3 linked regions of the Pelodiscus sinensis genome follow. The protein of the gene in region 1 interacts with the protein of each later gene in a pairwise test. Links are inferred from orthologs where the notes say so. Each region holds a gene or a part of one and is shown on either strand. Other genes may lie near its edges.

Region 1 (7,308 bases):
AATCACTCTAATTCATGCAACCAGTTCTAAAACTAAAAATTATTAAATCCTTATGAAACATGCCTGAGGACAAACTTTTCAAAGGATGTGGAATGCAAGGACTTTGCTGAGACCAAGAGAAACTAAATTAGAACTTTGATTCCTATGGCTACCAAATCTGTGATCACTTTCAATGGTACTGCCTCTCCCTTTCATACTAATTTATTTTGGCCATCACCTCTTCTAATTTGAATTGGGATCAGTTAAGCACTAAGCTGACATTAGCCAACTGATGTTTGCCCCAATCTGAGACATATACTGTAAATTTAGTCTCTTTATTTGAACAAGGATTCATTTTTCTTTTATATTTCAATGAGCCATTTTGAACATTATCAGAATCTTTTAATGTTTTAATTAATTCAGATGTTATGTTTGTTCATTAACTTATTCCTTATGGCTACCTAAGAGCTACTTGGACAAGGATTTAATATTGCTTCTAAAAATTGTGATTGTCGCCTTTTTAGCAAAACATCTGAAAATCTTGGCTTATTATTCTTAATGAATAACAAAAATAGGCCAAGATTCTCAGATGCAACTAGTGACTTAGGAAGGGAGGCACTCCATTTTTAGGTGCTCAACTTGAGACAATGTATAGGCACTGTACACCTACCCTTAGAAAGTCATATCCCTTTAAGATGTCTGAAGTTGGGTACCTACATATTTAAGCAGCCAAAAATCACTAGTAATTTTCATAACCTGTTCATGTGCAATATATATTGAGCCTCAAAAATCACTGCATGCATGAATTAGTTAAGACACACCTCTTAAACAACTGGGGCTTTTCATGTTATATTAACTCTTGCAATTAGGACATTTCTGGGTGATTGAAATGCAACTCTCTCTTACCCTCAAGACTGCCACAACCCACAAGGATCAGAGGCACCAACTGTCCAATATGGTGACCATTTATTTTTATTTAAAAGTTTTGCTACCTTCTTTCCAAGGGATAAAATGACACCTTTAAGGCCCTTTAGGAATACCCATGCTCACAGTAGAAATAAATCTCATTCCCAGTTATGACAGCTGAGAAGGAGCCTGGGTTCCTTGGATGCCCTGATAGGAAAAGGAAGACTCTCCAAAGCTCCCTCCCACTGGCAGGCATTTACTCTCCTCCTTCCCACCCCTCCTCAAAAAAACCCTGCTTTATTACAGGGAAGGTAAGGCAGGATAAGAATCAGTGCCTTCCTCCCAGATGTTAAGCAGCAAAGGAGGGAACAAACTAGCACCCAGGGAGAGCTTCGTACAAACAAAGCAGTCAGATGTTTGTGAAAAGGGGGTTAGTGCTCATCCACCTGTACCATGGATGTGAGTATGGAAGGGATCTAGCAAGCCTATTGCAGATGTCAGAGCAGTGGATGGAGCTCATGTCTACCTAAGGAGTAGGTTCTCAGAAGAGGTTCTAAAATGGGCTCACCCCCCTCTCATGCCACCACCGCTGGGTTTTTTTTTGTTAAAGGACATTCATATTGATCAAATAACCAGCTTTTCCTCTCCCACCTTCAACCAAATGACAGCTGAGGGAAAGTGAATGTGACTGTCCCTTATATAATGTTTGTTATATTCTCCTATATACACTAACTGCAAACAAAACAGAACATTGGGGTTGCATTTTCAAATGTGAATATTCACAATTAGACAACTAAACACCTATTTTAGGCATCTTAATAGGGATTTGGGGACCTAACTCAGATATTTAACTGTTTGAATACAGATTTAGATGCCTTACTTTTTAATATCCAAGTCTGAAAATTTGGTCCAAACTGTGTCAAGAAAATTACTTGAGTATTCATAAACGTATTGTTTAATTTTGTTCTTCTACCACAGAAAATTTCACATGGTGTAAATTTTGTGATAAGCTCAGGCACAGGCATATTTGTGTGTATATTTTACACTTGTTTCATATTCTTCTCTTTGATTGATTTATCATAGAAAGTAGTAGCGGAAGGAGGAATTTTAAATGTTGGGGACATGACTATAGTGAAGTGAACAGAACTACTGACATTTACACCCATGGTGAATTTGGTCTTATAAAATTCTGCCGGCATTCTTACAAAAAGCCACACTTGAAACTCATGTCATGTGAACAGACTTCCTCATCGACTAGCTCTCACACGGCTACTTCCCTTCATCAACAACAACAACAAAAATTAATTCTTTCCTTCACCACCTCTTCCTGTGTGTCACACTCAAGTCATATTCTCATCAAGGCCTTGGTGGAGCTGTTTTTGTTTAGGTCGGTGCGCACACAGTAGACCCTGAATACACAGCCATGTCAGATTCAGAAACTTGCCATTGGGCGAGGTCAGATAATGTCAATCGAGCCTCTCTTGGCAGCAGATGTCTTCACGGCAGGAATAGAAGGCAAGTGTCTTCTGCCAAGCCCAGAGCTCTGCCCAAGCTGGGTGAGGAGGGCACGCCAGCCCAACTCACTGCCGGTTGTACGGAAGTTAGGCACCTCGTCACACGCTTGCACTGTTCGCAGCCCCCCAGGTGACCTCTCCTCACCCGCTAAGCCCTTCGGGGCTTCAGAGGCTTTTGCACGCGTACAGGAGATCGACGCTACAGCCTGCAGTGCAAGCCCAAGCTCCGTATCACTGCATGTCCCCACACTGCACGGGGCAGCCCTTCCACCGGCCGCCCCGCCGGGGCTCGGGCTGCAGAGGAGCTGGCCCCACGCAGCGAGCGCAAGGCGCCCTATGGAGAGCGCCCTGCAGCCACTTACCAGCCATGGTGCCCGCTCAGCCCGGGACTCTCCGCGGCGGCGGTTCCGCGCTCTCCTGATGCTCCGGCTCAGCTGGTCCCGGCCCTACCTCGGCCGCTCCTCCCTACGGCTGGGAATTTCCCGCTAGGGTGACGGCTTGGTGACGTCGGACTCAAAAAGGCCGGTCTCCCCCCCACGCTTGCTGCGGCTGCCCTGTGCTGTACGCTTGAGGGGAAGGGAGGGGAGGGATGATCTCAGCGGGGATACACCTACCTACAGTAGCAGCAAGCTGTCCCCTCCCCCCTCCGTGCTACAGAGCTACATGCAGTGCCCACACGCCGCGGTGTAGCGATCTGCTGGCTGCTCCCCGCCCCCAACCTGCTTCCTCCAGCTGCACCTCCTCGCATGCCAGGCTGACCCTCGCTTGGCTGCTAGAGTGTAACATACGCCTCGCATGCCAGCACTAGCTGGGGCGCTGTCCTCTGTTGCCACTGGCAAGACAGGTTCAGGCGGTTCCTGATTCACTGTCAGCTTGTGGGGTAGTGTGAAAGTGCCCTCTCTGCTGGGCATGCACAGATTTTCCTCTTCTGCTTCTATCTCACACAAATACACACAGCCCCTCTTCACACCGTACAGGTACCCCATATATAATTATAATTCACACACACGGGGTAGCCACATTGATACCAAGAGACGTGCTTTTGAAATATCTAAAAGTGCGAACCTCAGACGGGACAACTTACAACTTAAAATACAACGAATAGTCTTACAGCACCTTAGAGACTAACAAAACATGTAGATGGTATCATGAGCACAACCCACATCTTCAGATGAAACACAGTAAGTCAATTCAACAGTAATCTATGGGCATGACAAAATTCACAATGTTGCCTATGTGTAAAACAAGCACAAGATGTCCAGGCAATCGTCCCACTTGGGTGCAATGCATTACACTCTCTCACACTGCTGCAGTATCAGTATCAAGCAGCTCCATAATCATGGTTGCAATTGAATGACCAATTGAGCTCCTTATTTCCCAGACTATAATAACCAACATTAGTAGATTAAATATGATATTTTTAGCAAATTTGACAATTGATTCCTCAATTGTGACATACTAAAAACAAAGCTGCTCTCCGAGTTACGAATAAGTTACGGATCAACACTTGGTCCGTAACTCAAAGTGTTCATAACTTGGATCCCAGAGAGTTACATGGTGACCGCACTGTTCGTAAGCGCAGATCGCCGTTCGTAACTCGGATCCGTATTTATGACTGCTTTGGTTGTAAGTGCGGATGGTCGTAAGTGGAGGTGGTCGTAACTCCGGGAGTGGCTGTAATTCAAGATTTTAACATTTTTTTCATGCCTGCCCCAGTTTAAGCAGTTAACCAGTTAACCATAATATTTTTCCAGTTAACAGATTAAATGGGATTTTACATCCCTAACTCAGTCCTACTACTTTAATTAGTTGAATTGGAACAGTTTACAGACATCCCTTGAACTTTGCAGAAATCTAGATTCAGGTGCCATACTGGCTCCAACCTCCATGATTTGCAGAGAGGTCAATGTTGAGCGAGTCTAAAAGAGTAAAAGAATCCCTGCTCACAGATTTTTTATTTTTTTTTGGTGACGTGAGGATTACTTTGCACTGAGCTAGCAACAAGTTTTTAGCATTTAAATCTTTTAATTGAGAATGTTTCAATCATACATAATGGCAAGTAATAAACAACAAATCTAAAGTAACATTCTTGAACAAGACACATTAAAAATTAGTACAGTAACGATGGCTTGAAAATGTACTGAAGAATAGCACTGAACTGATATTTTCTGTCATGTTTCTTCCTATCTCAGCCTTTTTTATTTTAAACTAGGCATATTAGGATAATACATTAAACACCAAAACAGGAAATCATATTTTTTAAATATTTAAATTCAAACATACCAATTTATGACCTGAAGTAAGAAGGATTGGACAAATTGTAGCATAATATTATTTTCATCATTTTGTAGGCCAATGCAACCCAATGGAAGTAAATGAGAATCTGCCTACATCAGGTATGAATTTGGTTCCATGTTTCTAGACATGCTCTCCCTATCACTTTGTACACTGGGCTAAAAAAGCACTTTTCCTCCCTAAATATCCGTAGTTGACTTTTCCTGTACTAGCAGGTATGTAAAATTAGAGACTTTTTTTCCCTTTACAAAACAAAATTAAAATTTGCAGGCTTCTGTCTCAATAATATTATCTAAATTCCTAGCATCAGTACTTTAGCTGGTTTAAATCAACAGAGCTCCTCTGCTTCTAGAGAACTGTGCCTTTTACACCTGCCAAGGATCAGGACAAGTATGTTATGTATTGCACATCTATTCAATTGTTAGCATGGTAGGCTTTATTACATATGTACTGGGTGTAGTACAAATTAATTTATTAAACTGTATACATAAAAACTAAATAAAGAAATCCTTTGGATTAGGCTGTAAGATTATCCAAATCTCTATTCTTTTGCTCCTGATTAAAGGTTTGAAAGGGATGAATGGCTAGATCATTGAAATTCAGTGGTCCACAGATGTAACAAACATTGTTTGTATATTTATTGCTTGGAACAGGAATACATATTGATTTTTTCCCCCAAAAAATCAAAACTTCAGATGTATTGTACTTGTACAGCACCTTTCACACATATTGCATCCTAAAGCTCTACAGGGTTAGGAGTGGACTTTATAAGATGCTGATTGAATTAAGCACCTAAATGCCTTTGAGGATTTGGACCTTAGATACTAACAGGTGTCAAACAAATACCCCAAGAAAGGTATATTTACATGGGAGCCATAGTTTAGATTTTCTAACACAAGTCTGATTTTACAGAGAGAAAAAGAGAGAGATTTGGAAGTGATTTGGATAAGGGGTTCCAGAACTATGATAGCTTGGAAAGAGTGGATTGATTAATTTAAAAAAATATTCTAATTTTGTTGCCACTTTGTAAGTAAACAAAAACATCCATAAAGCAAGAGAGAGGAAAAAATAAAATTCAGTCTTTTAATAGCTGAAATTCTGTGTCCAACATCAAATTTTAGGTGATTAAATTCTAATGTCAAAAGTGAATTTACTTTTGCATTGCTAACATTGCTATGGAATATCTGCTCTAAACTGGTGAACTTAATTCAGCTGAAAATATGTTCTGACATGCAAAAGGTCCTGCCTATTATATAACTGGTTTTGACAGGGTAATAAAAAGGAAAGGGGAAGGCTACAGCCTCGCTCCTCCCAGTTGTTGATCCTGGAAAGACCCTGAGTGGAGTCAATTTATGCTGGGTTTTAGTTTTGGTAGTAAAACAAGGCATGAAGAAAGAGATATGAAGTAAAGTGTAACTTCCCCAGCTGCTAAGCGTGCAATCCAGTTTACAAGATGTCACGGAATTAAGAGAGACTTATGGTTTCAATACAAAAGAAAAGAAGAAGAAGCCTCTCTCTCTTTCCCTGAACAGACAGATCTTAAGAGGAAACCTGACCACTAGAGAGGCTCCTCAATGGAAAGGGAACAAAAAAAGGATTATTTCCAACCAACAGTTCACAGAATGGGGATTGCTGGTGAACCTGTCATGACTAGTGAGAGTCTGTGAATCCTGAACCATGTGTAAGAATGTTTCAGACTCAGAAGCTAGTTTTGGTATGGCGGAGGAGCTAGAGCTGCAGGGAACTTAGGATCCTAATTAGAGAGGTTCTTCCCTCCCCCTCTCATCCTGCTATTGCTGATCCCCAAGCCTCTTCCTAGACATATTTTTCCTCTCCCCCTTCCTATGTGCTATAAGAAGAGACCATTATCCAGTTCTTCAGAGGTCTCCCCCTCCTGTCCAGAAACTGGAGTTAGGACACTTAGTAGTCAACATGGCATGGGTTATTCCCTTTTCCCCTATGCCTCCTAACTTCTGCAGGACTGGATCTCTTAGGGCTTGCAGGAGCTGGTCCATGGGCCCATTTTTCAAACTATTCCTAGCAGGCACATATCAGTGTCTGGAGAGCATTCTGCAACCCAAGAACATTATATTTTTAAAAAATGACAGTACCTAGAAAATTCAGGGTTAAGGTTGTGCTCCTCAAAACAATGCTTCTAACGACCTTAACTCTGCCCCCATAGAAAGAACTGTCTACCTTGACATCACATAAGAAAACTTAATACTGTATAGAAACATTTTGTTGCTGACTTGCATCTATTGTAGTTTTAATTTTATTTATCTGAGAGCTTATTCATGTTTGAAGCTTAACAGAGACTGGGCTGAGCTACTCACTCTCACTTAGAGAAAGTTCTCTAGACACAGCAATGTGAGAGAGCTCTCACAGCAATGGTGTATAGTACGGCTACCACAGCACAGCTACATTGATAGAAATTCTGCTGTAGCATTGTAGAATAAATGCTTCCTATAGTGACTGAAGGATTTTTTCCATCACTATAGATGCTTCATTTCCCCAAGCAATGTCAGCTGGTTACCAGAAGCATTCTTTCATTGACTTATCTGAGTCTGCAATGGGGGTTGGGTCATCATAGCTATGGTACTCAGGCATATACATT
Region 2 (7,859 bases), on another chromosome or scaffold:
TAAGACTATGGGGTTTTTTCCGACAAATGGTCCCGTTTACATGGAGCTTTTTATCGGCAACACCTCTTCCGCAAAAAGAATAGGAAGAAAATATGCAAATATGAGCGGGATTTCCATATCCTCTTCCGCAAAAAAACCGCAATGTAGCCATAGCCTAATACTGGGAGTTGTTCCTACAAAGAAAAGGAGCCCTTCCCACCACCTCCTATACAAAGCAGTTAATCACCCACCAAGGTTTCAGCAGACCCAGATGCTACAAAGCAAATAGCATTGAGGATCACAACAGCCAACGGGAAGCGTACAAAAGTGAAGGCACTCACACACTGGTGGCAAACAAGCATCTGCACACTCACAAGCTCACTGACATTTGCTATGACTTGCATCCACAGCAAGTGGGGCAGAGAAAAGCGGGAGGGGACCCTGCAGCACTGAGCTGCCAGAAGGATATCCAACACCTCAAAGCACCCAAGTGCAGGGCCTGTGGAAATTAACAATCAGAATGCAAAGTGGATCACTGATCTCTTCTCCCAGGTAAATCTTTGGGCATATGTGAATCCAGGCTGGATGCTAAGCACCACACTCACAACAGCAGTCTTGTTGAAGTTAGCAGGGCTGCTATAGCCATGTATTATGGTAGCTATAACCCAGATTTAGGCCTGACTGTTCTTCCTATGAACACACAGTACCCTGAAAAGTTACAGTCTCAATAGATAAGACAGCCAGAGTGGGAGCAAAGTAGTACTGAGTAAGCTGCGTCACCGGCATGAGTAAGACAAGCAATTTGTAGTGCAGAACTCTTGAGAGAGAAGAAAGGGCTTTAAAATGTGCCATAGGACACATGTACCATCGGCTCTAAACCCATCCCTGAAGTTCCTAGAGCTGCTGCCAAGAATCAGGCTCATTCTTATGTCCAGGTGGTATCTTAAACATTCAGGGTGAATAGATGCAGGGCCCTACAGGTGCGTCTACACTGCCCCAGTAGCTCACAATAAGCTACGCAATTTGAGCTACACAAATAGTGTAGCTCATTTCGAGTCAATTTCGAAATAGCTTATTTCGTCATTGGTACTGTCTACACAGCACCAGATTTTCGAAATAACCCGCTATTCCGAAACGTCCCTTGCTCCTCGTGGAATGAGGTTCACAGGGACATTGTATTTCAAAGTAACAGGCTTGCTGTGAAGATGCAGGATATCCCAAAATAGCGCTGCAGTGTGGACTTAGCCTACCACATTAGCAGAGCCTTTCTTTCTGGCTCCCCCAACGGCAGAGAACCCAAGGGCTGTTAGGAAGCTGCAAGAGAAGCAGTGTTCTTCACTTCCTCGCCTCCTGATCGGCACAGCCAGAATCCACAAGCTGTGATGGATTCTCCCTGCAATGCTCTAAGAACTTGGATTGTCTCTCATACTTTTAGAAGGGGAGAGCGCTCAGTAGCTTTAAAGGAAAAAAATCGCAGGTCTGGCCCAGGAAAGCTCATCACCTAATAAACCAGCCTGTTAGTCTTTAAAGTGCTGCATAGTCCTGTCTTTTGCTCCAGTCAGACCAGACTGACACGGCTACATCTCTATTACTCCTCCAGAGCGGAGGTTCTCCCCTAGTTACTGCGAGCCTGGGAGGATCCCAGGCGCAAGGCAAATGCCATCAGGTCCCAGGCTCTGCGAAGAGCAGACAGCGCAGTCGTGGAGCAATGTCCGAGCAGGAAGGCGGAGCAGCAGGGGCCAGTGAGCATTTGGTTTGACCGGGCAGCTGCAGCTGACGGAGCCAGGCGCTCGCAGCCCAGCGCAGGGTGCCCGTGGCCTTGTAGAAGGGGCTGCAAAGCGCCCTCCGGCGGCCGTGGCTCAGGCGCTGCCGGGCAGGGCAGGGCTGGGGACGCTCGCTCGGAGGCGAACCGTTTCCTGGATTTAAACTATGCACAGAGTCAGGCCGAGCCTCACCCCCGCCCCAACCCGCCCGCCCGGCGCCACTGCCGGGAAACTTGCAGAGCTGCGGCCGAGAGGGGCCCGCAAGCCCCGTGCGGTGCAGGAGCCTCCCCCGGCCCCTGCAACAGCCGCGCTCAGCCTCCCTCCTGGAAGCGGCAGGCGGCCCCTCGAGCCCAGCCCCGGGGGACTTACCGCCGGGTCCGGGGCCAGGCCCCCCGCTGCTCACCGAGCCGCCGCGGGGCGCTGCTGGGGCATCGCCGGCTGGAGCGGGCACGAGGGGGACCCTTCCCCGCGGGCTCGGGGTCAGTGTGTGAGCATCTCCCCAGCCAGGCAGCGGCTCCTCGCGACGGGGGCGCTCCGCGGCGCGCAGGGCCACGTCCCCGGGCTCGCTGGAGCTCGCCGCGCCGCGGATCAGCCCGCGCCCGGTGGAGAGCAGCGCTGGGTCCGCCCTGGCACCGCTGCGCTCCCGGCCGCGACCCGCCCAACGCGCGGCGCCAGGCAGCGCCTAGTAAGTGGGCGAGCGAGGGGTGGGATCAGAGCAAGCCGCGCGGCGCCCAGCCATGCCCACGCAAGGGCCCCAGCCCACCCCCGAGGAGACACGGCAGCGAGCCCCCCTCCCCGCCGCACTCCGGGAGCACCGCTCCCCGGCTGCCCCGGGGACAGACGCCGGGCGCCACCCCCAGGGAGGTGGATTGTCACTAAGTGCTTCTTACCCGCAGCGCTTCCCGGGGAGGGGCAGCGTCCTCAGGCGCTCGCTTCTGCCCGGCTCTCGGAGGGGGAGACGCGCTTTGAACAGCTTGGGCGAGGTGGCTGGTCCTTGCAAAGTAAATAATCTCGGCCCGCGCAAGAGACGCGCCCGCGGCACGTTTGCACCAATCCGGCTTGTTGGGAACCGCGGTTGTGCCCGTTCGGCGGGGGCAGGCGAGCGAAGCGCTCCGGGCTCCTAACGAGGCCCGGGGAAACCAGCTCGTAACGTGCCGCCCAGTCGAGGGCCCGATCCTGCCCTCGGGGGCATCCCTGGGCCTGGACCGCGCTCCGAAAGCTCCGAAGAGCTGCAGGATCGGGGCCTCTCGCTTTGACCGAGCCCCACACACAACGTGCGAGCAGCTTCTCGCCAACACACGGCGGGCGATGGATTTCTGGGGAGCTGCTGGGACTCCGGATTCCTTCGAACCGCTGCTGTTAGCACGTGCCATGGGCGCCCATTGGCTGAGCTAGCCCTGTAAAGTGCTTCAGCCTAACGTGAGTTACTTTGCCATTGACCAACTTGTGCTGAGGATCCAGTAGATCTCAGCCAGAAGCCACTTTCCCTGGCTGGACTTGGCCCCTGGGACGCTTTGCCCCCTTCTGGAATGCTGGAAGCAAGGACATCTGCCTTCTCTAAAGCCTACATGTTGCTATGCAGGTTAAATACCCCAGGCTTCACAATGGGCCAGGGCTCAAACCAGCACCTCCAGGCTGGGTGTGTCAGCTATGAATGTAAAAAACTTCCTTGCGCCCCAACAGCTCTTCTCTTGCAAATTAAGCACTGGAAAACAAACCCTTCCAGCGGGATAGTAATAGAGAGGTAGCTGTGTTAGTCTGATCTTGCTAAAACAAAAGGAAAAACTATGTACAAGTGGGTCTGGCCCACGAAAGCTCATCACCTATTAAACCATCTTGTTAGTCTTTAAAGTGCTACATAGCTTTTCCTTCCAGCATGAAACACCCCCTTGCACATGCTTCTTCCTTGGGGGGAGAACAAACAAGTATGTGACAGGTGACTCATGGTGCTTATTGCACTCCTGGGAGGGGGGGGGAGCACTTTTAGTACCTGTATCGAGTCAAATTCGGATTCACTTTGGCTACGTCTCAACTAGCATGATTTTCTGCAAATGCTTGCCTGTGTCTAGACTGTATCCCTTTTCCATAAAAGGGATGCAAATTAGACACATCGCAATTGCAAATGAAGCAGGGATTTAAATCCCCCCCGCTTCATTTGCATAAAAATGGCTGCCGCTTTTTTCCGGCTCGGAGCTTTGCCGGAAAAAAGCGCTAGTCTAGACGCGGATCTTTCGGAAAATAAAGCCTTTTCCGAAAGATCCCTTATTCCTCTTAAAATTTTACGGAAAAGGGATGCAGTCTAGACACAGCCCTTGTGTAAAGGCAGTAAGAGCAAATCAGTATTGAGAACTTGCTGAAATACTTCTGGGTAATTTGCCTCACTACTCACCCAGCTGTAATTAAGATGCTGTCTTTGAAATGCTGCAGTGCACTGACTTGATCTTTCTCAGCCTAGTGGGAATTAGATGATGATTCTGTATCTGTTGAAAATCCAGGAAGCTGTTTTCTCCTTACAGCAATACAGAGCATTATTATTGCCACTGGCCAGTGTGCAGCATCCCCCAGTAGGCTCAATGAGTGTTTGGGACATTGGTGGCTAATTGGGAGAGGGTTGGTTTATGGCAGCAGGGAGCAGCTGACTCAGAGTTACCAGGGGTGGAGTGGGAATAGCGGAGGTGAGGGAGGAGGCCTACTATAAATCAATTAGGGCAGGGGTGGGTAAAGGGGCCTCCATGGGCCCAATCCAGCCCATAGATGCTCTGCCACTCCCCCACCCCCAGGGCAAACAGGGCCTGTGGGAGGGAGGAGCAAGCAAAGTCTCTCCCACCCTGTTCCTGCCCTGCAAGCATGGTGTGCCACTTGCAGGGAGCAAGAGACTTTGTGTACTTCTCCCTCCCCCAGACCCTGATTGGCCTGGGGGTGGGGGAAGCATGCAAAGTCTCCTCCTGCCCTGAGAGGGGGCAGATGCCTAAACAGAACTGCCAGCTGTTCAGAACACCTGGCAGTTCTCTCTAAGCAGGGGAGGCAAAGGGCAAAGACTTGACTTGTTTCTCCACCCCCAGGCCAGTCAGGGTCTGTAGGCAGGGGAGCACAGAAGTGTCCTGGCCCCGCCCCTTCTGCCAGAGTATGACAGGGTGGCCCGGGCCCACGCCAAAAAGTGGTGAAGTGACCCACTGTCTAAAAGTATTGCCCACCTCTGCATTAGGGCCAGCTGATCTCACTTCAGGCGGCACTCGGGACCCTTTAAAAAGCCTTCCCTGCTGCGGGAAGTTTGGGGAGTGGGACAGGCGGTTGGAGTGAGATGGAGAGGGTTATACCAGACAAGGAGGGAGTCAGAAAAGCTGATGAGGTGAACAGCATTGCCAAAGACAGCAAGGGGGGGAGGGGGGGCTCTGATAAGGAGTGTTTGGGCTCTCTTCCCCTCAGGTAGCCTGAGAGTTCAACCAGTGGTGGGGGAGGATTGTTTACCCAGCCCAGGTTGACTGGAGGCACCTACCCCAATGCCTTCCTAGCCCAGGGACAGAAGTCCAACCCTGGCCAGGGCAAGGGGGGGCCCATGCTGCAGTACCTAAACTATCTGTGAGATTGTGAACTGGCCAGGGGCCCAGGACTGGGACTGACCTTGCCACACCAGGTTGGCAGAGAACAACGCTCTGTCGACATCGTGCTGCTGCCATGGTTTGGTGTACCTGTGCGAGACAGTTATACCAACATAAGTCTATAACAGTGGTTCCCCAACCTTTAGAGGCTCCCGGGCACCCAGGGGCGGGGCCACTCACGCGCCGGGCACCCAGGGGCGGGGCCACTCACGCGCCGGGCACCCAGGGGCCAGCATGTGCCCCAGGGCCACCCAAGCGCCTTGTGCCGTGGGCCCGGGCCTGGCACCGGCACCGCACACCTGCATGTGCCCCAGGCCTGGGGCCACCCGAGCACCACGCACCAGGCACCGGTGCGTGGTACGCACCTGGGGCCGGCGCCTCCTGGGGCCAGTGCCTCCAGTGCGCCACATGCTGGGGGCGGGGCCAGCTCAGGTTGTCAGCAGGCACACACAAATGCCCCGGCAGGCGCCATGGCACCCGCGGGCACCACATTGGGGACCACTGGTCTATAGTGTAGACCTAGGATACAATTCTGGCTAAAGCAACCTAGACTAGCCAGAGTGAGTTCCCCTTTCACTGAAGAATTTGACATTGTGAGGGGTTCACTCATCCCCATAGCAGGGGTCCATCATCTGTCCCCAGAATCAGTCCATTCCGCCCGCACAGGCCTCCGTTCACGTGGGGTTTCCCCTCTGGAATCCTCCAGTCACATCATTCTCTTCACCACACTGCCCTCCAGCAATGCCCAAGTCACTCACTCTGAGCCTCCCCTTCCAGGGGGTTGGTGTCTCTCCAGCAGGCCTTACTTCAGGCCAGCCATTTGTCTGTCCAAGCACCCTTGGCCTAGCCCTAGGGAGCATCCTGCTCCCTCAGCCACCAGGCCCACACCCTTCTCTGAAGCAGCCCTCCCCTTTTATGGCTCCCAGCTGGGCCTTAATTGGCCAACGCTGCCCAGCTGGGCTGAAGGCCCCGGGCCTGCTCCAGGCTGGGGTTTGACTCTTAAAGGGCCAGAACAGGGCAGCTGCCCTGTTACAGACATGATCAAAACCAGTGGTCTGGGTAAGCAAGATGTGTTATATATGCACATATACAAGACAGCCAAAGAATTGTTTACAGTCATACTGGTTCACGTGACACAGAAATGCAGCAGATGCTTGCTGCTGGCTAGACTACATGGCAATTGTCTGACTGAAAAGACAATGGTGTAAGCCAGAAAGCTGATCAGTTCAGGCTTGTCATGCTGCTGCTTTGTGAGTGGCTGAACAGTCCAGTTCTCAAGCCACAATTTCCTTGCCACAAACAGTACAGGCACTAGGTGCAGGGCCAGAGGATGAAGCTGGTGCACTATTAGCATCTGAGGCCTGCTGCTGCTTCGCTTTCCTCTTTGCTCTCTTCACTTATCTGACTCTGAACCAGCATTTCTGGTACAGTGCAGGCCTCCAACATGGCCCATTGCTGGCAGCAGCATCTCAGTTTGCATGGTCAATACTCAAACTGTTCAAGTCCTTTCAACCGCCCCTGAACCTGCATGTACGTTGGCTCAGCAAATTGAGTGTCCGTAAGTTCTCTGTACAGAAGGAGATCTTCTGGAAAGCATCCATCCAATGACTTAGATTGGAAAGCTCATCACCTAATAAACCATCTTGTTAGTCTTTAAAGTGCTGCATAGTCCTGTCTTTTGTTTCAGCTACACCAGACTAACACAACTACATCTCTATTCCTGTTGTTTCAGGCCAATTCCACAAGCCAAATACACAGGGGCTATGTCTAGATTGCATCCCTTTTTCGTAAAAGGGATGCAAATTAGACGTATCGCAATTGCTAATGAAGCGGGGATTTAAATCTCCCCCGCTTCATTAGCATAAAAATGGCTGCCGCTTTTTTTCGGCACGGAGCTTTGCCAGAAAAAAGCGCCAGTCTAGACGCGGATCTTTCGGAAAATAAAGCCTTTTCCGAAAGATCCCTTATCCCTTATTTTATTCCCCTTTGTGTATACCATTCACAGGGTGCTTTGTCAAAGATTTTAAAGGGGCACTTACCCACTTTCCCTTTTTCCTGGACCTAGACTTGTTAAAACTTTAGGGCTACGTCTACATTGGCCCCTTTTCTGGAAGGGGCATGGTAATTTTTGAAATCGCAATAGGGAAATGCGCGGGGGATTTAAATATCCCCCGCGGCATTTAAATAAAAATGTCCGCCGCTTTTTTCCGGCTTTTAGAAAAGCCGGAAAAGAGCGTCTACACTGGCCCCGATCCTCCGGAAAAAAAGCCCTTTTCCGGAGGATCTCTTATTCCTACATCCACTGTAATCCCCAGGTCCCTTTCTGCAGAACTGCTACTTAGCCAGTTGGTCCCCAGCCTGTAACAGTGCTTGGGATTCTTCCATCCCAAGTGCAGGACTCTACACTTGTCCTTGTTGAACCTCATCACATTTCTTGTGGCCCAGTCCTCCAATTTGTCTAAATCATTCTAGACTCTATCCCTACACTCCAGTGTATCTTCCTCTCCCCCCTAGCTTA
Region 3 (7,436 bases), on another chromosome or scaffold:
CAGGGCCCTCTGCCCCAGGGTCTATGATGACCAGGGGGGCACGGACTGTCTGACCCCCCAGGATGCGGTCCAGGGCCTCATAGTAGGGGCAGGCCTCCGGGTCAGCCCCTGGTTGGGAGGCCCTGGAATAGGCCTGCCGCAGCTCCTTGATTTTGCTGTGCACCTGCTCCTGGCTGCGTATGTGGCCTCTGGTGGCCAAGCTGGCAGCCATGCAGCTGTGGACGGCCACATTCCTGTACCTAATGTTGAGATCATGGACATTGGAGGCCTCCCCCCAAATCTCAATGAGGCCCACGATCTCCGCACTTGACCAGAAAGGCACCCGCCTTTTGCGGCCCCTGACAGGCTCTTGGAAGCCGCCAGCCTGGTCCTGGGGAGCGGTGTAGGGCTGGGTGTCAGCGGGTGGCTGGCTCATGCTGTGCCAGGTGCACGGTCTGCTGGCTGTGTGCTGTCAGGCTGGCAACTGGCACAGGCACTGTGGCCAGAGTCTGCTCCTTTAAGGGCTCTGGGGCTAGGGCGGGAGCAGACAAGTTTTCCTGGTTTGGCCCAGAGTGGCACCAGGGGGAACTGGGAAGGGCTGGAGGCCCCCTAATTCGAAATAAGTGTCTACACAGCACTTATTTCGAATTAGCTATTTCGAATTAGGTGTTATTCCTCGTAGAATGAGGTTTACCTAATTCGAAATAAGGGCTACGCTCTTTCGAATTTATTTCGAAACAGCAGTTTGTATGTGTAGACAGCTATTACAGTTAATTCGAAATAACGTCTGTTATTTTGAATTAACTCTGTAGTGTAGACATACTTAGACTCCCAGGATAGCGCACATCTCTTCTCCTTTGACTTTTAAACTCCCTTCACATCAGTGGAAAACTCCCGGAGATACGATGTTTGCTCTGTTGACAGCAGAAAACACATTTCAAAGGAGAACCCAGTATTGTGTCTCTCATTCAAATGGCAGGGAAATCTGAGCAATTAGGCATATCAGGAAGGGTAGAATAAACTCCTTGCATAAAGCTAATGAACTAAAGTATTTTATGAGGGTTTGTCCACTTGATGCATTAATGCTGACTGTGGGCTGTGATTTCTAAAGCATACTGACATGTTGCACACTGATCGGCCTGTGGACCCTGCTGGTGCACTCTGAAGGTGACCTGGGCTATGTCTGCACAGCAGCGTTATTTTGGAATAACTAACGTTATTCTTTAAAATTTAAAAAATATACGGAGATATACCTATCTCATAGAACTGGAAGGGACCTTGAAAGATCATCTAGTCCAGATCCCTGCCCTCAGGTAGGATCAAGTACCATCCCTTACAGATTTGCCCCAGATCCCTAAATAGCTCCCTCAAGGATTGAACTCACAACCCTGGGCTTGAGTGAAATAACAAAGAGCATATCTACACTGCAAGCCATTATTTCAAAATAATAACAAGCTGGACGACTTCTTACTCTGACTCTTGGTAACCCTCATTTCATGAGGAGTAAGGGAAGTCAAAGGAAAAGCACTCTTCCTCCAACTTCCTGCCGTGTAGACGTGCCAAAAGCCGAGTTAAGCTACTCTGACTCAAGCTATGCAATTGACGTAGCTCAAGTTGTGTAGCTTATTTTGGCTTTAGCCCTGCTGTGTGGACGTACCCCAGTGAGCTCTAACAGCATACTGCATTAATCATTTGGCATGAGACATAGGGTTGCTTGCTAGGGTGATCTGAAGATATCTCAGCAAATCAATTCCCTGCCATTGCAGAGGGCTGGGGCCCTGGTACACCAGAGCACCTGAAGATCTCTGCTTGTGGCACACACTATTTTAGTTCTGTGAGGGCTCTAATACTTGAGTCTAATTCAGCTGGTTGGGTTTGCTGCTGGGGTGGTGAGGGACATTCAGTAGCCTGTTGTGTAGAGGAAGTCTGACTGATGTGCTGGTCCCTTTTAGCCTTAAACCGTATGGCTGTGTCTAGACCGGCCGCTTGAATTTCCACAAGAACACTGACTTCCTACTGTCTGAAATCAGTGCTTCTTGCGGAAATACTATGCTGCTCCCGTTTGGGCAAAAGTCCTTTTGCACAAAGCTTTTGCACAAAAGGGCCAGTGTAAACAGCTCAGATTTGCTTTGCGCAAAAAAGCCCCGATGGCGAAAATGGCGATCGGGGCTTTTTTGTGGAAAAGCGCGTCTAGATTGGCACGGACGCTTTTCCGCAAAAAGTGCTTTTGTGGAAAAGTGTCCGTGCCAATCTAGACGCTCTTTTCCTCAAATGCTTTTAATGGAAAATTTTCCGTTAAAAGCATTTGCGGAAAATCATGCCCGTCTAGATGTAGCCTGTGACTTTTATGCACATGGAAGCTGATGCAGATAAGATAGGATGATATATCATAGTATTACAGAGGTATCATTGGCAAACATAGATTTCTGCCTGTATCTCATGCATTCTTTCTCTGATTGCCACCAGTTTTTGTACTCTACCTCTGTACTATTATTATACTGAGGGGACTGACAGAATTGCCCCTGAGCAAGGTGGGGAGTGCCTGGCTCTTTGCTCCTGGAAAAGGCAGGGCTTTGGGCAGAAAGGGTGGAGTTGGGGCATGCAGTGTTTTGAGGGCCATTTAAAGATCTCGGAGTTCTGGCCTCCATTGTGGTAGCAGTCCTTTTTCTTTGTTGTTGCTGTTTTGTTTCACTGGTGCAGATATATTTTGTAGGTGTATAAAGCCTGTCCTAAAGAAAACCAAGCACATCTGCTGAACAGAAAGTATAAGAACATAGCACAATAGATTGCAAACAGGTTAGCACCTGGATTTTGATTTTACATGAAATTAAATTGAAAAGAACTGAATATCTTTATAAAAATCTCCTTGACTACATAACATTAGCTCTGTGTGTATCTGTCAGATTTTTTTTTCTTTTTTCATACCCATAGTACATGCTGTGTGAATTTAAAATCTCAAATGGCAAGTAGGTAGAATTATAAATTCATAGCAATACATAATAATAATGGTAAACTTTTTTTTTCTTCTCCAAGAAGAAGGAAAAAATCAGGCTGATTTTAAATTTATTCATGCTCTAAGAACTGTTTCCCCACCCCTGAATTTGGATCAGCTCACATAGGAACTTTGAAGCCAGTGTTTGAAAAATGAAGATACTTTGACTTAGAGAACAATGAATTGCCAGCCTTTAAAGTGCACACAGATCTGATAACACAGGGGAGGTAAGCCAATGAAATTGCACGGGTCTTAAGGCGGCAACAACTGAGGCTCTTAGACCTTTGGCACTTAAAGATGTATTGGCACCTTTGCAAGATTAATTTTGTATGCAAAATAAAGCACATCGTTTTCATCTTCCTCTCTGGCCAGTACTGTTTATCTGCAGCAGCAGAAGCCAGTCGCCGTGGTGACAACCAGCACAGCTGCCCTCTGGAAGACGGAGGTTAAAGAAAAGTTTGCATACAACTTTCACTGCAGGATTTGGGCAAGTACTCCAGCGTTGTGCTTATTTACTGAGAATAGGGGTGTTAACAGGGGAAGACTTGAGAGACCCTAATAGTTGTTACAAGAACATAATAAAATGGGTGCATAGTATATAGGCTATTTGTAAATATATATGAATGGCACATGCACATAAATGACAAGTACAACACACACACACACATATTTTATTTGGGGCCAGATTCTAATCTCAATTACACCGGTAAAAACCAGAATAGCTCCACTGTCTGCAGTAGAATTATTTCTGATCATATAGTTATGCATTATAAATTCTACAATTTATAATATATATAAATATATACATAAATGTGTAATATCTGGGTTTCTATTATTCCTCTCCAGCTCACCTGATGAAGTGGATTTTGCCCATGAAAGCTCGTGATACTATATATATCTTTGTTAGTTTTTAGGGTGCCACAGGACTACTCGTTGTTTTTAAAGTTACAGACTAACGCAGCTATCCCTCTGAGACTTTCTGATCATAATTAGACATGTATAAAGCCTCCAAATTACTTCAGTGAAGTTCTTCCAGATTGACACCATAAAACCCCCTTGGGATCTGAAACAAACTATAGAGTCTTTATAGATTGACACCAGTGCCTGATTTAAAATGAAATACAGTGTGATCTTTACAGTCTCTAGAGAGCACTTTTAGCTGTCAGTTTTATTATTTATCCACTTTCGCAGCCTGCCTCTGCTGTAACTGAGAGCAATTAAAACACAATCCTGCACAGATACCTTTTGGTTGAGTCCAAAGAGAGAGAGAAATCCTGTAAAACCTTGAAGCCCAATCTGCATGCTCAATGACCACATAGAGGGTAACCAAATGATGGTAAAACTTCTGGGGCACCCCCTACACATTCTTTTATAAGGATTTTAAAAAGCCTCTTAAAAACAGCAGCAGAGATCGGAGTTTCTGAGGGGAGGGGAAAAGAGGAAAAAAAAAGTAGAGAAGAAAAAACTTTGGCACGCATGTACTGCCTTACATCAATCTATGTAGATGTTCTTTCCTCCTTTTGTGTAACACCCCTTTCCTCCTACAGACCACCCAAAGCCCTATAAATAATCCAAGCACTCTGTTTTTTCTTCAGCTTTCTCCTCAGACCTCAAAAGAAAAATATCAAGCAGGGGAAGGGAGGGTGTGTGAGAGAGAGAGAGAAGATGGCTAGTGAATTCAAAAAGAAAATGTTTTGGAGGGCAGTAGTGGCTGAGTTCTTAGCCATGAGCCTCTTTATTTTTATCAGCATCGGCTCAGCACTGGGCTTCAATTTTCCTGTAGTCGGCAACAAAACAGCAACAGCCACTCAAGACAATGTAAAAGTCTCTCTGGCTTTTGGGATCGCTATTGCCACCATGGCACAAAGTGTGGGTCACATCAGCGGTGCGCACCTGAACCCGGCGGTGACCCTGGGTCTTCTGCTGAGCTGTCAGATCAGCCTCTTTAAGGCTTTCATGTACATTGTTGCACAGTGCCTAGGGGCCGTGGTGGCCACGGCGATTCTTTCGGGAGTCACTTCGTCTCTTCCAAACAACTCCCTTGGACTCAATGCGGTAAGCAGATAAGCTTTTCTCTTTCACTTTCAAGAAGTGCAAAAAACTGTGTTTAAAAGAGGTTTAATCCAAAACCCACTGAAGTCAATGGACACCTTTGCCTTGACTTCAGTTGCCATAGGATCAACTGTTTAAGGCTTATACGGTCACTTGGTAGCACAGCTACTCCTATAATCCTAAGGATAGCTAAACCATCTTCTATAAACTCCAGTCATCTGAAGAAGTGGGCTGTGCCCACAAAAGCTGATGATACCATCTATATGTTTTGTTAGTCTATAAAGTGCTACCAGACCATGTGTTGTTTTTCTGTTTATCCTGTACAGACTAACTCGGTTAGTTAGCATCTTCTGTAAGACAGAGATCAAAGAATGGTCCTCTTTCCCCTGAATCAAGGTTGTATGTTTGTGATTACTGGAATCACATTATGTTTGTGTTTGCTTTTCTGTGTCAAGCATGAGATAATCAATGCTACCTAATGATTTTTAGATGCCCTAATGATTTTTAGATGCCCGATTCTCATTTAGAATGATTGGTAACTGGGTGTTCGAATTCCTTAGCAGACTTTGAAAATCTCAGGCTACGTGCCTGGTTCTGGTGATGGATGTACATTTGTATTGTGTTCAGGTTACTCTGGGAGGCTGTCAGATTAGGGGTTCAGATAAGGCCAGCTAGGATGCTGTGTAAGAACATTGGTACAAATCTAAGTAACCACAGAGAGAAAAAGAGGGAAAAGGGGTAGGGGCAGGAGAGATCGGTAGCAAATGAAACCCTGTGGTCAAAACTCTACAATGAAATGCTCTTGGTGCAGATTTGCTCTCTGATATAGAGTCATAGCTGCCACTTGTGTTTTTGTTTATTCATAAACAGACATATGGAAATGTCGAATTGTGAATTGCACTGTTCGTGAGGCGGGGAGGCAACTGTCTATGAAGGCACCCTGGATTCAACACTTTTACAACCAGATGTTTTTTTGGCTGTGTGACTGTGGACAGGCATTTCATTAAAGCTGCTCCGATCATTTAAATGCAGCTGTTCCTCCTTAAAAGGTTGGCATTTGGCCAGAGTGGCATCTAAATGGATACACATATCTTTAAGCATTTGTCTGGCTTAGAAGGAACCTATTTTCAGTTTCAGTCACATAACCACAAATACCTTGTTAGTGCTACCTATAAGAATATTAAAGCTGGGATTTCCCTTATGGCTAGTTACTCGATCTGGTTGTATAAAGTGCATTTATTTCACATCTTCTGGCTGTTCCCGCCCATATAAAAAAATTAAGCTGCAGTTTGTGACATTAATATTCAGCATCCAGTTTAATTGAGGGAGCATATTTGCAAGTGAAGAGTTTGATCAGAATGTGATTTTACTATAAGTAACTCCTTTAGAAGAAAGAGAAACAAACAAAAAAGTCAGGGAGTATGAAATGAACAAACAATGTAGTGTGGTTTAACATACTGTGGAGTCATAGGCAACTACAATTAATATTATGAAAAATATAGTGAACGTTGATATTTAATTCATTACTCCAGACTAAAATTGGGTGTCGTCAGTCTTCATGTTCTATTCCAATATAGGTTGCTTGTTTACCTTTCTGGAATCTGTGGATACAGGAATTTGATAATCCATCTATCCACTCAGCTTCTAAATTTGGATAATAATTATGGGTCTGACTCAAAGCCCAGGGGAAACAATGAGAGTCTTTCCATGGACTTCAGTGGGCTTTGGATCAGGATTTAAAAAATGGTATGTACTCATTCCCTGTGAAACCAGTGCCAGGGGGAACTAGACCATGCAGGAGTGAAACACATGGGACATGAAGTAACCAAAGAAGGCTCCTGCAAACACCTAGCTGCCAGCTGCCATTAAATGCGGGTGGTCTGTTTCCCAGAGTTTTAGCATTTGGATTTCCTCATCTGCACACTGGGCAGCCATAAAACTCTTGCACATTGGTTCACCCTAAAATTCAGAGCCCTGAATCTGGACTTCTGTAGAGTGGGTACGTGACACTAGTCAAAACCCCTCTTGTTTCTTTGACTACCTCCAAGTTACAAGGATTATATACACTGGGTGCAGGCAAGGGGTCTATGGACCTTGAAGAGAAGGTGTCAGGGAGGCGGGGGGAAATTCAGAAGATGGTGCTGAAATGACAAGAAGGCAGGGAAGAAAATCATACAGGGCTAATAAAGCAAATACGGGCTGTCTGGGAAAGCAACCATCCCTTTAGAAAAAGTGTGTCCTCCACTTGGGCATGTGGCCTCAGCTTTTAAACAGACCACAAAATCAGGAACTACTGTATTTTCCGGCGTATAAGATGACTGGGCGTATAAGACGACCCCCTAATTTTCCAGTTAAAACATAGGTTTTGGCCTATACTCGCCGTATAAGACTACCCCCCCTTCCGAGGCAACAC

The links. The genes of interacting proteins can lie anywhere in the genome.
Region 2: the proteins of REL (region 1) and CPNE2 interact in binary tests that used the Homo sapiens proteins (3 or more experiments, as listed by UniProt). The two-hybrid records come from large-scale screens. The link is inferred for Pelodiscus sinensis from reciprocal best matches to the Homo sapiens genes REL and CPNE2.
Region 3: the proteins of REL (region 1) and AQP1 interact in binary tests that used the Homo sapiens proteins (3 or more experiments, as listed by UniProt). The link is inferred for Pelodiscus sinensis from reciprocal best matches to the Homo sapiens genes REL and AQP1.

Annotation. Positions count from the first base shown.
Region 1 is NC_134713.1:180,083,841-180,091,148, reverse strand, and holds the start of REL (proto-oncogene c-Rel), read right to left. Parts: upstream 3,004-7,308; 5' UTR 2,769-3,003; coding exon 2,762-2,768; intron 1-2,761. UniProt on the Homo sapiens protein: Proto-oncogene that may play a role in differentiation and lymphopoiesis.
Region 2 is NC_134722.1:43,490,905-43,498,763, forward strand, and holds the start of CPNE2 (copine-2), read right to left. Parts: upstream 3,019-7,859; 5' UTR 2,633-3,018; intron 2,246-2,632; exon of another isoform or gene 2,112-2,245; intron 1-2,111.
Region 3 is NC_134712.1:249,461,907-249,469,342, forward strand, and holds the start of AQP1 (aquaporin-1), read left to right. Parts: upstream 1-4,418; 5' UTR 4,419-4,636; coding exon 4,637-5,026; intron 5,027-7,436. UniProt on the Homo sapiens protein: Forms a water channel that facilitates the transport of water across cell membranes, playing a crucial role in water homeostasis in various tissues.